Linked DNA regions of Danio rerio. The protein of the gene in region 1 interacts with the protein of each later gene in a biochemical or structural test. Links are inferred from orthologs where the notes say so. Each region holds a gene or a part of one and is shown on either strand. Other genes may lie near its edges.

The links. The genes of interacting proteins can lie anywhere in the genome.
Region 2: of the proteins of prmt1 (region 1) and ubap2l, one has a biochemical effect on the other in vitro, tested with the Homo sapiens proteins (2 studies listed by BioGRID, with this or other methods). The link is inferred for Danio rerio from reciprocal best matches to the Homo sapiens genes PRMT1 and UBAP2L.

What each region holds. Positions count from the first base shown.
Region 1 is NC_133178.1:31,170,808-31,177,817, forward strand, and holds the start of prmt1 (protein arginine N-methyltransferase 1), read right to left. Parts: upstream 3,977-7,010; 5' UTR 3,886-3,976; coding exon 3,859-3,885; intron 2,880-3,858; coding exon 2,784-2,879; intron 2,693-2,783; coding exon 2,537-2,692; intron 2,405-2,536; coding exon 2,341-2,404; intron 1,968-2,340; coding exon 1,825-1,967; intron 1,719-1,824; coding exon 1,631-1,718; intron 1,539-1,630; coding exon 1,423-1,538; intron 1,337-1,422; coding exon 1,186-1,336; intron 1,081-1,185; coding exon 959-1,080; intron 1-958. UniProt on the Homo sapiens protein: Arginine methyltransferase that methylates (mono and asymmetric dimethylation) the guanidino nitrogens of arginyl residues present in proteins such as ESR1, histone H2, H3 and H4, FMR1, ILF3, HNRNPA1, HNRNPD, NFATC2IP, SUPT5H, TAF15, EWS, HABP4, SERBP1, RBM15, FOXO1, CHTOP, MAP3K5/ASK1, MICU1 and NPRL2.
Region 2 is NC_133194.1:8,827,318-8,833,046, reverse strand, and holds part of ubap2l (ubiquitin-associated protein 2-like), read right to left. Parts: intron 5,451-5,729; coding exon 5,391-5,450; intron 5,302-5,390; coding exon 5,249-5,301; intron 5,156-5,248; coding exon 5,070-5,155; intron 3,453-5,069; coding exon 3,275-3,452; intron 2,933-3,274; coding exon 2,731-2,932; intron 1,356-2,730; coding exon 1,033-1,355; intron 1-1,032. UniProt on the Homo sapiens protein: Recruits the ubiquitination machinery to RNA polymerase II for polyubiquitination, removal and degradation, when the transcription-coupled nucleotide excision repair (TC-NER) machinery fails to resolve DNA damage.

The sequences.
Region 1 (7,010 bases):
AAGACACAGCACATGAGCCGCTATTATACTACTAAGGAGAAATGCTGTAAAAAGCCATCTCTGCCTCTCTCTCTCCCTCCCTCCCTCCCTCCCTCCCTCACTTTTGTATATTTGACCCGCTGGCCTGTTCATGAGTTAACTTTTCCCCTTCTCTTGGCTGGTAAAGCGATACTTGTGGATCCAGACACGAACCTCCCTGTGGTGCGAGTTTTCTCCACTGTGGATTACCTTTGATAACTGCATATTATGCACATATAGACTGTAACCATGGCTGTTCTTCCCGTGTCACTCATCAGTGAACAGCACTTTTATGTCTAAAGCCAATCACAGCTGTTTCTGTCAAACGGGTGAAGACAATAACCAGTCATAGAGGCAAGACCTCACTCAACAACGCTCAAAGCAAGTGGGATAATATTTCCATAAGTTTATTGCCTAAAAATGCTCATGTTGTCTTCTGTGTATGTATTGGGAGTTTTGTTTGATACCTTGAAAAAGAGTGTTTTCTTTGAGCAGGTCAAATTAAAGGTACAGTTCATATATCTTACTTCTTGTATTAAAGGACAAAATTGTGTTACAAATAATATATAAATATTAATATATTTTCAGATTTTAATAAAAAAAAAAATAGTGTTGGGAGAAAAAAAAAAAAACTCATTTTGCACTGAGATATCGAATTAAACTGAATCGATGGCATGATAATCGTTACCGAACCGTGAGACCAGTGTAGGTTAACACCCCTAATTAATATTAAAGAAAGTGAAAACGTTTAGAAGTGATTAAGTTGTAATTTTACAATATAATTTCCAAATGAAGAGCTTTTAGACTTCATAAATTAGAAACTGGAAAAATGTTCAATTTAATACAGAAATCAACCCATTAAAATGGTAACAAGATATATATGACCATCCCTACACTTTCACTAAAGGTGCTAAAAGTAAGACGTGCACACAAGGCTCACATTATTCTTGACGTTGGGCTTCATGCTGATAGTGCCAAAGATCTCCTCTCCAGTCTTTACTGTCAGATAGTCATCAAGGTAGAACACAGTCTGCTTCCAGTGAGTGTAAGGAGACTCTGGGCCTGCAAGCAAAACTCACTTTAAACAGGGTTCAACCATCCTTCAATACAATAAACTCGTGGTGAATACAAAGTGATTTTGTGGTGAACACCACACACAGCACTTACTGGTAGAGAAGCCTGTCCTCTTGTGGCAGCGAGTGAACTCTATGTTGAAGTAGGTTACCAGAGCATGAATGTAGTCGTTTCTTTTCACCTGCAGGCAGAAAGGTGACGTGAAGGACAGGTCCTCAATCTTCACGGTGTAGATGTCCACCTCCTAAGGAATCAAGAAAACGTATTGAATATTAAATGAGGAAAGCAGGGATTATGTGAACATTGGAAAATAAAAGGTTGCAAACAAACCTTAATTAAGCAAGCAGTGCTAACAAGCTGTTTGGGATCAACAACATCCACCAGCGGCTCTGTAATGGCCACTTCCTTAATACAGGACATGTCAAATCCATACACGTTCTCCCACCCTAAAAAAGTGCAAATATGAAACAATTAAATGAGTTACTGCTTTAAAGAAAGCTGAACAGACTCAAGAGTGCATTAAGAGATTGATGCGTACAGTGGATTTTGTAATCCTTGTACTGCCGATCCTCGATAGCAGTGACATAGAGGGTGGCTCTGTCAGGAAAAATCAGGCCATCAGGTTTCTGAAAGCCAACAATGGAAAACGTGAACAGTGATTAAATCAAGAAAGCACATACGATTTTATACTGAACAGTTTCAACATGGTAAAAGACATTAGCATACACCCACCAGCCATTTGTCCCTGGCATAAATGACGGTGTTAAGCATGGATTCATAGAAGAGACAGTAGCCCATCCACTCAGAGATGATTATGTCTACATTTTCCACAGGAAGCTCGACCTCCTCCACTTTGCCCTTAATTATAGTGACGACTGGACAGGAAAAAGTACATGGTTAAAAATTTTAGGTACATAAAGAATAAAATGGGTATAGGCCAAAACTGTTAATCCAAAACTGAAAATGGTCATTGTTTAACCTCCCCTCACTCATTCTAAACCTGTGATTTTCTTCTGTTGAACACAAAAGATGATATTTTGAAGAAAGATGCAAACCTGTCACTACGGTTACCAGTTTACAGCTTTCTTCAAAATATCTTCTTTGGTGTTCAACAGGAAAAAAAGAAACTGATAGGTTTAGAACCACTTGAGAGGGAGTAAAACTTCATTTTTGGGTGAACTATCCCTTGAAACATGCTGAGAAAATAAGTTAACAATGAAGATGCCAAAAGCTCTGAGAAGGCCTTACTATGATCCAGCTTGTTGGCCTTCACAATCTTCACAGCATAGTCTGATATACTGCTGCACTCAATCTAAGGAATAAATGACCAACAAATTAATAAATTAATCTGACAATACACAGCATGATCAAATAATACCACATACAAATAAATGGCTTAAATGTAACAAAAATGCTTTAAATAAATCATGGGACTACTTCTCACCCCAATAACTTTCTTGGCTCCAGCTTTGGCTGCAAACATACAGAGGATGCCAGTACCACTTCCCACATCCAGCACAACTTTATCTTTGAAGAGATGCTTGTTGTGAAACATGGAGTTTCTGTACGTCAAAGTACGAACTTCATCTTTTAGCATCTCCTGTGAAGATTCAATGGGTTTACATTAATTATAAATAAATTAAATTGACTTCACCACTAATGCTGAGATTAATGAACTAACAAGAAAGTACCTCATGAATGCCAAAGTGTGCATAGGAATCAAAGTAATAGTCTTTGGACGTCATGTCTTCAGCTGCAGGTTTCGCTGAGCTCTCTCCCTGGGACACCTCAATTTCAATAGATAAGAAAAATGTAAATAAGCAAGTAAAGTCATGAGCTGGGCTTTTCTCAAACATTTGCAGTATCTTCAGTATATTAAAACAAACAAGCAAGCAATAAGGTACTAGTCAAGAGATGACCCAAAACATGTTTAAACCAAACATGCCAAGTGTAAATAACCCTGAGTAAACAGTGTTTTTACACAGAACTACATAAAGTCGGTGGCTTCCTCTGAATTTAGTTCCAACTTTTGGCAAATATCACAGCAGGCAATGAACCATTTTACACATTTTTTTTTAAAATGGATAGTTAAGCAAAAAAAGTCATATTTTATCTTCACACGCCTAACGTTAACCTTTGAAGAGTCCTCTTAAGCTTAAATTTTTCTACTTTTTAATTATACACATTTGAGGAAAAGTGGTCTAAAAGAAAACTTAGTCACGACGCAAGTACTAGATCATAGTAAACAATACAGGATGTTTTATTAAAAAACCCAATCACTGTGATTAGCAGAGAGGAAAAAAAAGCGTAACGTTAGCTCCTATCCATCAGTCCCATGCGGTCTCTGCCCAACAATAAGTCATTGAAGTCCTCCGCCAGCGTGCTCACGTGGAAACTGAACAGCGAGCTAACGGTAGCTAACATGACAGAAATATTCATACATTTAATCTCAAAATTCATCTGTGGTTACACTCAACAACTAAAAACTCGAAGCTAGCTCAAATTTAGCACATTAGCACTAGCATACACGTGATGCGAAATGAATGAATTATCTGCGGCAGGCTAAAATGGATGCTCAAGATGCGTGTGCGCACATTTCTAGCCACCTGATAACTACATACGCAGCAATCAAATCTGTTCACAGACCAAAGATTCGGAACCGGCGTGTGACGTAAATAAAATCGCCGTGTCGATTCTGATACGGTTACGAGATATTTAGCATCAGAAGCGTTTTTGGCGAACCGGCCTTGAGTAGCTTCAGCTTACCTCCATTCTGTCTGCCGTCTCCGCCATTTCGATAAACTGGACACAGCCGCGACTGCAGCAAAGCTCATGTAAAACACACTTGTTTTGCTCCCGCCTCTTTGCTGTGACTGTATGATTTGATTGGGTGACAATCACGTGGTTTTACAATAACCACACCCACTTTCCTGCGGCTCTTCGTCATAGGCTTTTCTACTATGCGTTTTTCCGCTCTTTTGATGCGTGACTGTCATTGGTCCAAACTGTAACATGATTATTATTTATTTATTTTATCTCAAATATTATTTTACAGAATTTTACTGTGAATCCAACATTTATTATTTTGGGTTGTAGATACAAATTTAATGTCTGCTTCACAATAAACCCTATTCTATTTTTATGTAAATTTTATATTCATTTATTCGTTTTCCTTCTGCTTAGTCCCTTTATTAATCCGGGGTCGCCACAACGGAATGAACCGCCAACTTATCCAGCAAGTTTTTACGCAGCAAATGCCCTTCCAGCTGCAACCCATCTCTGGGAAACATCCACACATGCATTCACACACGCACTCACACACTATGGACAATTTAGCCTACCCAATTCACCTGCACCGCATGTCTTTAGACTCTGGGGGAAACCGGAGCACCCGGAGGAAACCCACGCAAACGCAGGGAGAACATGCAAACTCCACACAGAAACGCCAACTGAGCCAAGGCTCGAACCAGCGACCCAGCAACCTTCTTGCTGTGAGGCGACAGCACTACCTACTGCGCCACTGCTTCGCCCTGCCTATATTTTATATTTATAAATAAAATTTTCAAATATAAAATCCACTTGTGTATTTTATACAAGAGATCAAAATTTACTTACAATTCCAGATTCACTTAACAAGAATGCACTCAAAACGTAAACAATTTGCACAACATGTGTAATCTATTAAATATCCCAATCTTTGTTATCTTTTTTATTTTGCCCTTTTTATTTTCAATTTCATTATCTGTTGCATCTATTCTCAGATTAGATAACCTATTGATATCATATTTCTTTGTTTTGATTTCTGTTGTTTTTTGTTCTTGTGTTGTTTCTTTATTGGTACCATTGTAAATAATATAATTATTATTGTAAATGTTATGTACCAAATGTATCTATATGTTGTACAATAAATATGAAAAAATATTTTATTTTGCACAAGTTTCTGTATTCCATTTTATTTCTGTTTATGGAACACAGTGGCTTAGTGGTTAGCACTGTCGTCTCACAGTAAGAAGGTCGCTGGTTTGAGCCCCAGCTGGGTCAGTTGGCATTTCTGTGTGAAGCTTGCATGTTCTCCCTGTGTTGGCGTTGGTTTCCTCCTGGTGTTCCGGTTTCCCCCATAGACCAAAGCCATGTGTTATAGGTGGATTGAATAAATTAAATTGGTGTAGTGTATGAGTGTGAATGAGTGTGTATGGATGTTTCCTGGTACTAGGTTGCAGCTGGAAGGGCATCCGCTGTATAAAACATATGTTGGATAAGTTGGCGGTTCATTCTGCTGTGGCGTCCCCTGATGAATAAAGGGACTAAGATGAAGGAGAATGAATGAATTATGGTTTCATTGTTTTCATGTAAATTTTATTAGTTGGACTTTTGTCAAGCTAATAGAAAAGCTTACAAAATCTTTTTAGGAAACCATCCTTTAGTCATGTGTTTTGTTCACAAAATAAACTATATGGTTATAATTATACAAAGTAAGCAAAGTTTGCAAAGTAAGCACATTTCTAAAAAAAAGAAGGCATTGATAAAATAGGAGACAATAATGATTATTTACAAAACAACATCTGGAGAAAATGGATGTTTGTACATTATCATACTATGGGATTTAGCTCAGATTAAGACCAATGTCCTCCTTGTTACATCTTCTATGAGAAAAAAAAGTTAGTTTGGTAATTTTTTCATTTTTCATACTTAACAGGAAATAATATTGTTTGGACAACATTCTTGAGAATATGATCTTGTATTTATGTATCATGGCAAACAATTTTTAAAGAACACCAGTGTGAGCAAATGGTGACACTTTTTCTTTGATGAATAGTTCCTATAAATCAAAGTTTACATTATATAACATTGTTCAGTTCCTGGTGAATTGTAACAGAGACCATACAAAAAGAAAATATATTTATTTACCATGTACAAGATGGTTATGCATCATCAAATATAGCTTACTTTGTTGAAAAAAACAAACATATTTGCAACGAATGCTGTAAACAAATCAAATGTGTAATTTTATTAATAATATATTCAACATATTTTATCTTTTTAATTTATTTATTTATACTGCAGTGGGTACCTAACTGAATTGGCCACCATTGTCCACAATAAACATATTTGATATTGCCTTAAATGCTAAATTTAATTAAAGAGATTTAGAAAATGCCTCAAAAACTGTAAGATTTAATTAGTTTAGATCATTGGACAAGTGAGTGCTGCATACTGTTGACAATACTGAGCTAAAGCTTTACTTCACATAATTAAATTAGAAATCATATTGCAATCTCTGTCAGACAAATCGCAATTAGATATTTTCCCAAACAGTTCTGTTAAGCAGAAAAAGTAATTTCTCTCCTTTCACACATTAAATTGCACACTATTGCAAATAAATATAGGAACAGCAATCGTCAGATGGAATTAGTGCCATTTACAACCTCTATTTTGCCAACTTATCACCATTCCCACATACTTGCACTTTGATACTTTCAACAGTGCCGATCTTGTTTTCAAGCCAATTAGAATAGTTATCAATTTTAATTGATGTATAAGCGGACAAATCAAGTAGCGAATGACAGAGACAAAAGTGTAACTAGCCAATTAAATGAAGAGAAACAAGCAGGAGGCGGGACTTGTGTGGAGGAAGCGCAAGAGCGAGCTCGGTGGCCGTTCTGTCACGAGCTCCGTCCGGGAACACCGACCGAACGAAAAGTCTCGTACATAATTGACGACTAATTATAGCCAATATTCACCTTTCTGTCGAGAAACAGGCTTGTCAGATTAGTTCGTCAAGAAGCAGGATTCCCCGTTGTCCTATCGCGGTCCTTTGGGTGATGTATTCTAACATTTGATAGAGCTAGCCCAGCTCGCTAGCTGTTTGGCTAGCTTGCCGTGCGTGACTCAAAGTCAGAGAGGTATCAATTGATATT
Region 2 (5,729 bases), on another chromosome or scaffold:
CGTCAGTGTCAGTGCAGACCTCTCATCTCTGTTATAAAGTAACTCCGCCATTGAGTTCATAATAGTGCAAAAGGTGATAATAATAGTTAAACATGGCAGTTTGTTCATCTTTTAGGTTGCAGAAAAAATCATTTGCTCCTTTGTTTTTTTCCAAATTCTGTTTTTCCGCACTTCACTCGTTTCTGAAAGGGTTGAAAGTCAGAAGCACTTCAACAAAAATCACACGCACGTTATTATCATCAGCCCAAAAAGCTTGTTATTTCAAATACAGAAATGCACAGCAGCTCACGAGCACACACTTTAAGACGGCCCCGTAAACAACAACAACAACAGGACACAGCAGATTTTGTTCTTCTCGGCTTTGTGGCTGTTCATCAAGACGATGACAAGGTTTGTCTGAGCTCGGGTCGACCATGGCTCATTATTATAAGCATACACTATTACAGTGTAATGTCTTAGCTGTGCATTTAAAAATGGCGCTTCCTTCGTTTTCATTCTGCTGGCTTGTGTACGCGCTAGTGACGCATCTCCGTAAACCAATAGCATTCAGCTGCGGGTCTAGCTCCGCTTTTTGGTAACCTTTTGTCGTGCTAGGTACCCTTTCAAAATGACACCCAAAAGGTGGCACAGTTTGCTTTACTGTACCTTTTTGACAGTGGTAACGGCTATAAAAGTGTACCGTAACACTAAGTGAAAAGTGGATTAAGTGAAATAAGTGCAAACGGGCCATCAATGGTCTAAAAAAAAATTTTTTAAATAAAAATTAAAAAAAAAAAAGTTTAAATTTTCACGATGGATTTAAAAAATGCAAATCCTGACATACCTCTCACTCAGTTGCACTATGTATTTGATCATTTGTAGCATAAGATAATCATTTGAAGAATTTTTTTAATACAAATTACCAATAACCAAAGTGCAAGCCATAATTTGAAATGTAGTCGCATCCAGAAAAAGGTGAATCTGGTAAAATGGATTAATTCCACTAAACCCAAAAACACAGCTAAAAGCACAATATACTTTGAGAAAGGTGACCTTGGTCGTGATGGAAGCCCTCTTCTTCTGCTGTTTGAGTTTGTGCTGCTGCAGGGGGAGTGGGCTGGACGCCTGCGGGTCAGCTGGGCTGGAAGAGTTCTGCTGTCCTGGAGCAGCTCCCATGGGTTTGGAGACTGGGGTGGTGATGGCCTGGGCCAGTGAAGATGCCTGGGTGGACTGAGGGGGTAGAGCTGAGGTGCTAGAAGGGCCTGTGGTTTTGTCCTGCAAGAAGGCATCCATCATAGAGGTGGTGGTGGAGGCTGGCTGATAGGGCTGCCGTTTGGTGAATGGACTGTGCACAGGCTCTGTTTGAGGTTTCATATCTGCAGAAACAAGATTTACACAATACATTTACTCATTTAGTACTTCAAAATCATCAGAGAACAGCAGTATATAAAAATTTCTATGACTAGGAAGAGAAAGTGTCCTACGAGTGGTTTGGCAAGCCCACTCACCTATGGAGCATACCAAGAATTACACAATGTTTTCAAAAACAAGGAAGAGTGTTGATAAAGGGTGCACTCACACTATGCTATCCAAACCATGCCCAAGTCCGTTTCCTGGATTGTTTGAGAAGTGTGAGTGCTCTAAATCGGGCTCAGGCATGGTTCACCTGACCCGGTTGGAAAAGGTGTGCAAGAGAACAGTTCACTTGGGCTAGTGCAAATACAAAGCGTGCCTGAGCCCGAAACTGAAGACGAGACGTGACTTTTAAGGGTTTTAAGGTTTCATATGGATTAATTAATCATTCTTACTGTTCAATGAAAGCAAACTGTCGTAGATTAATGAAGACGCAAACCCCTCGCTGCACCTTTAGCAAACCTCGTAATTCCTGCAGCACAGGGACTTTATGGTCGTTTAGAAGCTTCAAAAGTTGCTGATCTGTTCGGCGAGACATTTGACTGCGCGTCACTGCATCCCAAACGACTAAAACGATATAAATAAAGAAATCTTCACTGTGCTGAGCGAGAGCGTTGCTTACTGAACAGGGCATCAACGATGATGTAAGCGTGCTCAGACCCGAATGTAATGCGGGCCGTTGGGGGAGATGGGACAAGCGCACTTCGGCAAAGTTTAAGGCAACTGTAAAAAAGTGAGAGTATGCCCTAAATTTCTGGTGCATATGGAAAGGTGAGAGCATGTCCTGCCAGTGGTTTGACTAAAGATGTAATTTCATACAGTCGATCAAAAATAGGCCACAGTAAATACAAGTGCAAACATTAAACTGGTTTGGGTTTGTGTAAATGCTCGTGGTAAAAAAAAATTAATTAAAATTTTTTTTTTCACAAAATGCCACTGACTAAGGCCCCAAACACACAGGGTGTCAGCTTCATCGCTTTCCATTCACTTTGAATGGGTAACATCAGGCAATGCCGAACTGTATTGTGGATCCGTCGGCGCCACTTCAGAGGCGTTGCTCGCTGCAAAAGTTGGTACTTGCTCAACTTTAAGCGTCGACGGAAGCGTCAGCCAATCATATCGCTGTATGCAAATACACCAGCTCAGACAGTGGCCCATTGCTGGCTAATTTCATTGGCTGACGCTTCTATGACGATCGCGTCAGCCCCGACTTCAGACACGCCCTCGGTCATGCATTGACACTGAAGCCCCATGTGAATGGGGCGTAAGACCATGTCTAATACTAATGACCCAATACTAGACAATGTTGAGAAACTGCAGCAAAAGGATGACTCTTACCATATTGCCCCAGTGCAGATGGGCTGGTATCCCAGGTAGAAGGACCAGCATTGGGTGGTCCACTTTGTGAGTGCTGGGCCGCCAGCTGGGCCAAAGCCTGGGCAGTCTTAAACTGCTCCAGAAATTGAGAACCAGTCGTCGAACCTCCAGTGGTTGTTTTTGGATCACCAACATCCCCAAAACCCTTACCGAGCATGCTCACCTGAGGAAAAAGGCAAATGACAATAGTAAAATTATGCTGCAACTGTATAAGCATAAAGTGTGTGGGATACCATTTATTATTAAAATCAATCTGAAGTTCTAAATGAAAAAGCATATCAGCATATACAGCATATCCTAGTGAAGAAACTCCAAAAAGACTCAACTAAAATGACACTTAAAATGATACAAATCTTGACAAACTCAACAAACTGTTACACACCTCCAAATAAGCTTAATTAAATATTTTACATCTAGATGTAAAAATAAAATTCCAAAATGCTGACAATTTAAACTATGCATAAATAAGAAAATAAATAAAACACACAAGCACAAGCTCTCTCACCATGTTGTGCTGGCTGTAAGGAGCACTGGAGGAGGACTGAGACAGTGATGATGTCTGCTTTGAGTTGCTGAACACTAGAGACTGAGACAGAGATTGTGGCTGTGGGCCTTCAAGTGAAGCAGGCTCTGCTTCAGAGGAAGAGGGAGGCGTCTTCCCCAGCAAGACAGCCAGATCAATCCTGGAAACCAAACATGCTTATGTAAGAAAGGTGAGTGCATAGGATAATAAAATATTAAATTAGCAAGGCATTTAAAATCATAATGGAAAATTGATTATTATATAATATGGATGGATGCAATGATTATAGATTTTATTTGTATGATTATAGTGATAGTATATAGATATAGTATACTGAAAAAGAATCAGTTTCACAGTTATCATGATTATTTATTTATTAAATTCAAAACACTACTAGTTTAGAAAAATCACATGAAAACTGGTTTTAAAGTGTTAATTATTGCTAATCTGTAAATAATTAATACAGCAAAAAATAGCCCATTTCTCTTTTTTGACTTAAATGACAGAACAATAATTAAATAACAAATAAATAAGTAACATTTGTATAATGTGAATCTAAGCTACATCTTAGCATTTATAAAAGACAAGAAATATAGGCAAAGGAACCTCTTTCTGAATGGCACTCTTGATCAACTATATTACCGTACGTTCACACCGAAAGCGGCGAGAGCGTCCAAGGTCGCTCTGGCCGCCCTGGCGACAACGCTGTCTGCCTTCAGCTCCGGTGGCGAGAGCGTCAAAACTCGCTACATTAATCTCGTACTTAAAGGAGCCGTTGCAGCATATCAGTTACATTCCTGCATAAGACATGTTTTTAGCTTGAAAATGTTGCGCACTTCTTATCAAATTCATACAACAATGGAAGATCAAGTTGCATGTGGTGTGGCTTTGCTCTATTTATCCAATATGTGTCCATATGTCTGAAATATCCTGTAGCAGCAGTACTGTTTTGTACCGTCACATCGCGTGAGATTCCCGCTTTTTAAAGATAAATTTATATAACATTAATAAACATCAGTAACTCGCCAGTAACTTATTTAATGCATGTTCCTGTAAGAAAACATTGTAAATAATGGGAAATCCGGCGACCGCAATAATCAAACCCTTGGGAACAACTGTGGTCGGAACCAAAGTTCACAGGTCTGTGTTCCCTGAACTGCTATCAAGCGGTGGACGTCTTCATTCTGATTGCTTGCCGCCGAACCGCGTCATAGCTCATTACCATAAAGTTGACTTAATTTCAACTCTCCTCGACGCTCACGCCGGCGAAGACGCGCCGCGCTGCTCCTCGCCGCTTATCGACGCCTATCGCCGCCGGCTCTCATTGAAAATGAATGACTTCCGGATACTTTGACGCTCTCGCCGCTTTCGGTGTGAACGTACGGTTACAAAATTGTTTGGCTTTTTTTTGGTTTAGTTTTTTCACTCCGGAGAATAAATGTATATATTCCAATTAAAAAAAATGGAGCTGATCGATCAGTTCTCGTCAAGTGACTCGTGGTGCGCTCATGCCATTTTTTCAACTAGGTGCACCTGGAAAGCCAGAGTAACGCTTGCGCACACATCACTGCCAAAATGCGTGCACCTCCATTGGAAATAACAAACTTGTGTGCGCAAAAGACATGATATGTGAACGGCACTTAGTTAGCCTCACCCATAGAAGACCTTTGTAAGCATTAACCAATTTTTCATTGGTAGTGCTGGAGAATGAATGACAGGTCGAAGTGATTTCAGTTAAAGGAGCCAACAATATTCTCTTAAAAATCCATTGGCATACCTCTGTCCAGCAGTAATGGTGACATTCTCCTGTGGAATGGGCATGGATGCCACACTGGAGGCAGTGAATATCTTGGTCTCTGACAACTAGACAGGAGAGCAAAAAAAAAAAAAAAAAAAAATTGATATCCTTGTTCTTAAAAAGGAAAGCAGGTTTTTGGTCTCGGTTCAAATACTCACATCCTCATTCCAGTCCTCCGTGCCCCACTCTTCCGTGGCAGTTCTCCAAGCACCTGTTACACAGACACTCAGCTTACTTACAACGACAACAAGTGAACAACAGCTCGCTCTGATTATTTTATGCAGGAGATTTAAGACTCACCAGGGGCGGAGTCAAACTTCAGAGGATAGTTTGTTCCCTCTCCACCTGTAAACTCAAGCCCTGTGGAAACGGATAAGTGTCAGAACAGCAGCTTCTACATATTTATTTTGAACAGACTGTAGATTTCATTCTGAAAACCTGGCAGATGGGGTGCATGATATCATATTGTCAAACCATGGAGGTTATATGTACCAACGTATTAAGCGAAAGTACTTTTTTTTTTTCTCTCTCTCTCTTAATAATGCTATTTAGACCTGGTGCAGCTACATATTTTCAAGAAATTATTGTTGTTGAGGTAAGTTTAAGAGTTCCAAAACAGCTTGGTTTATTTGCTTTGAA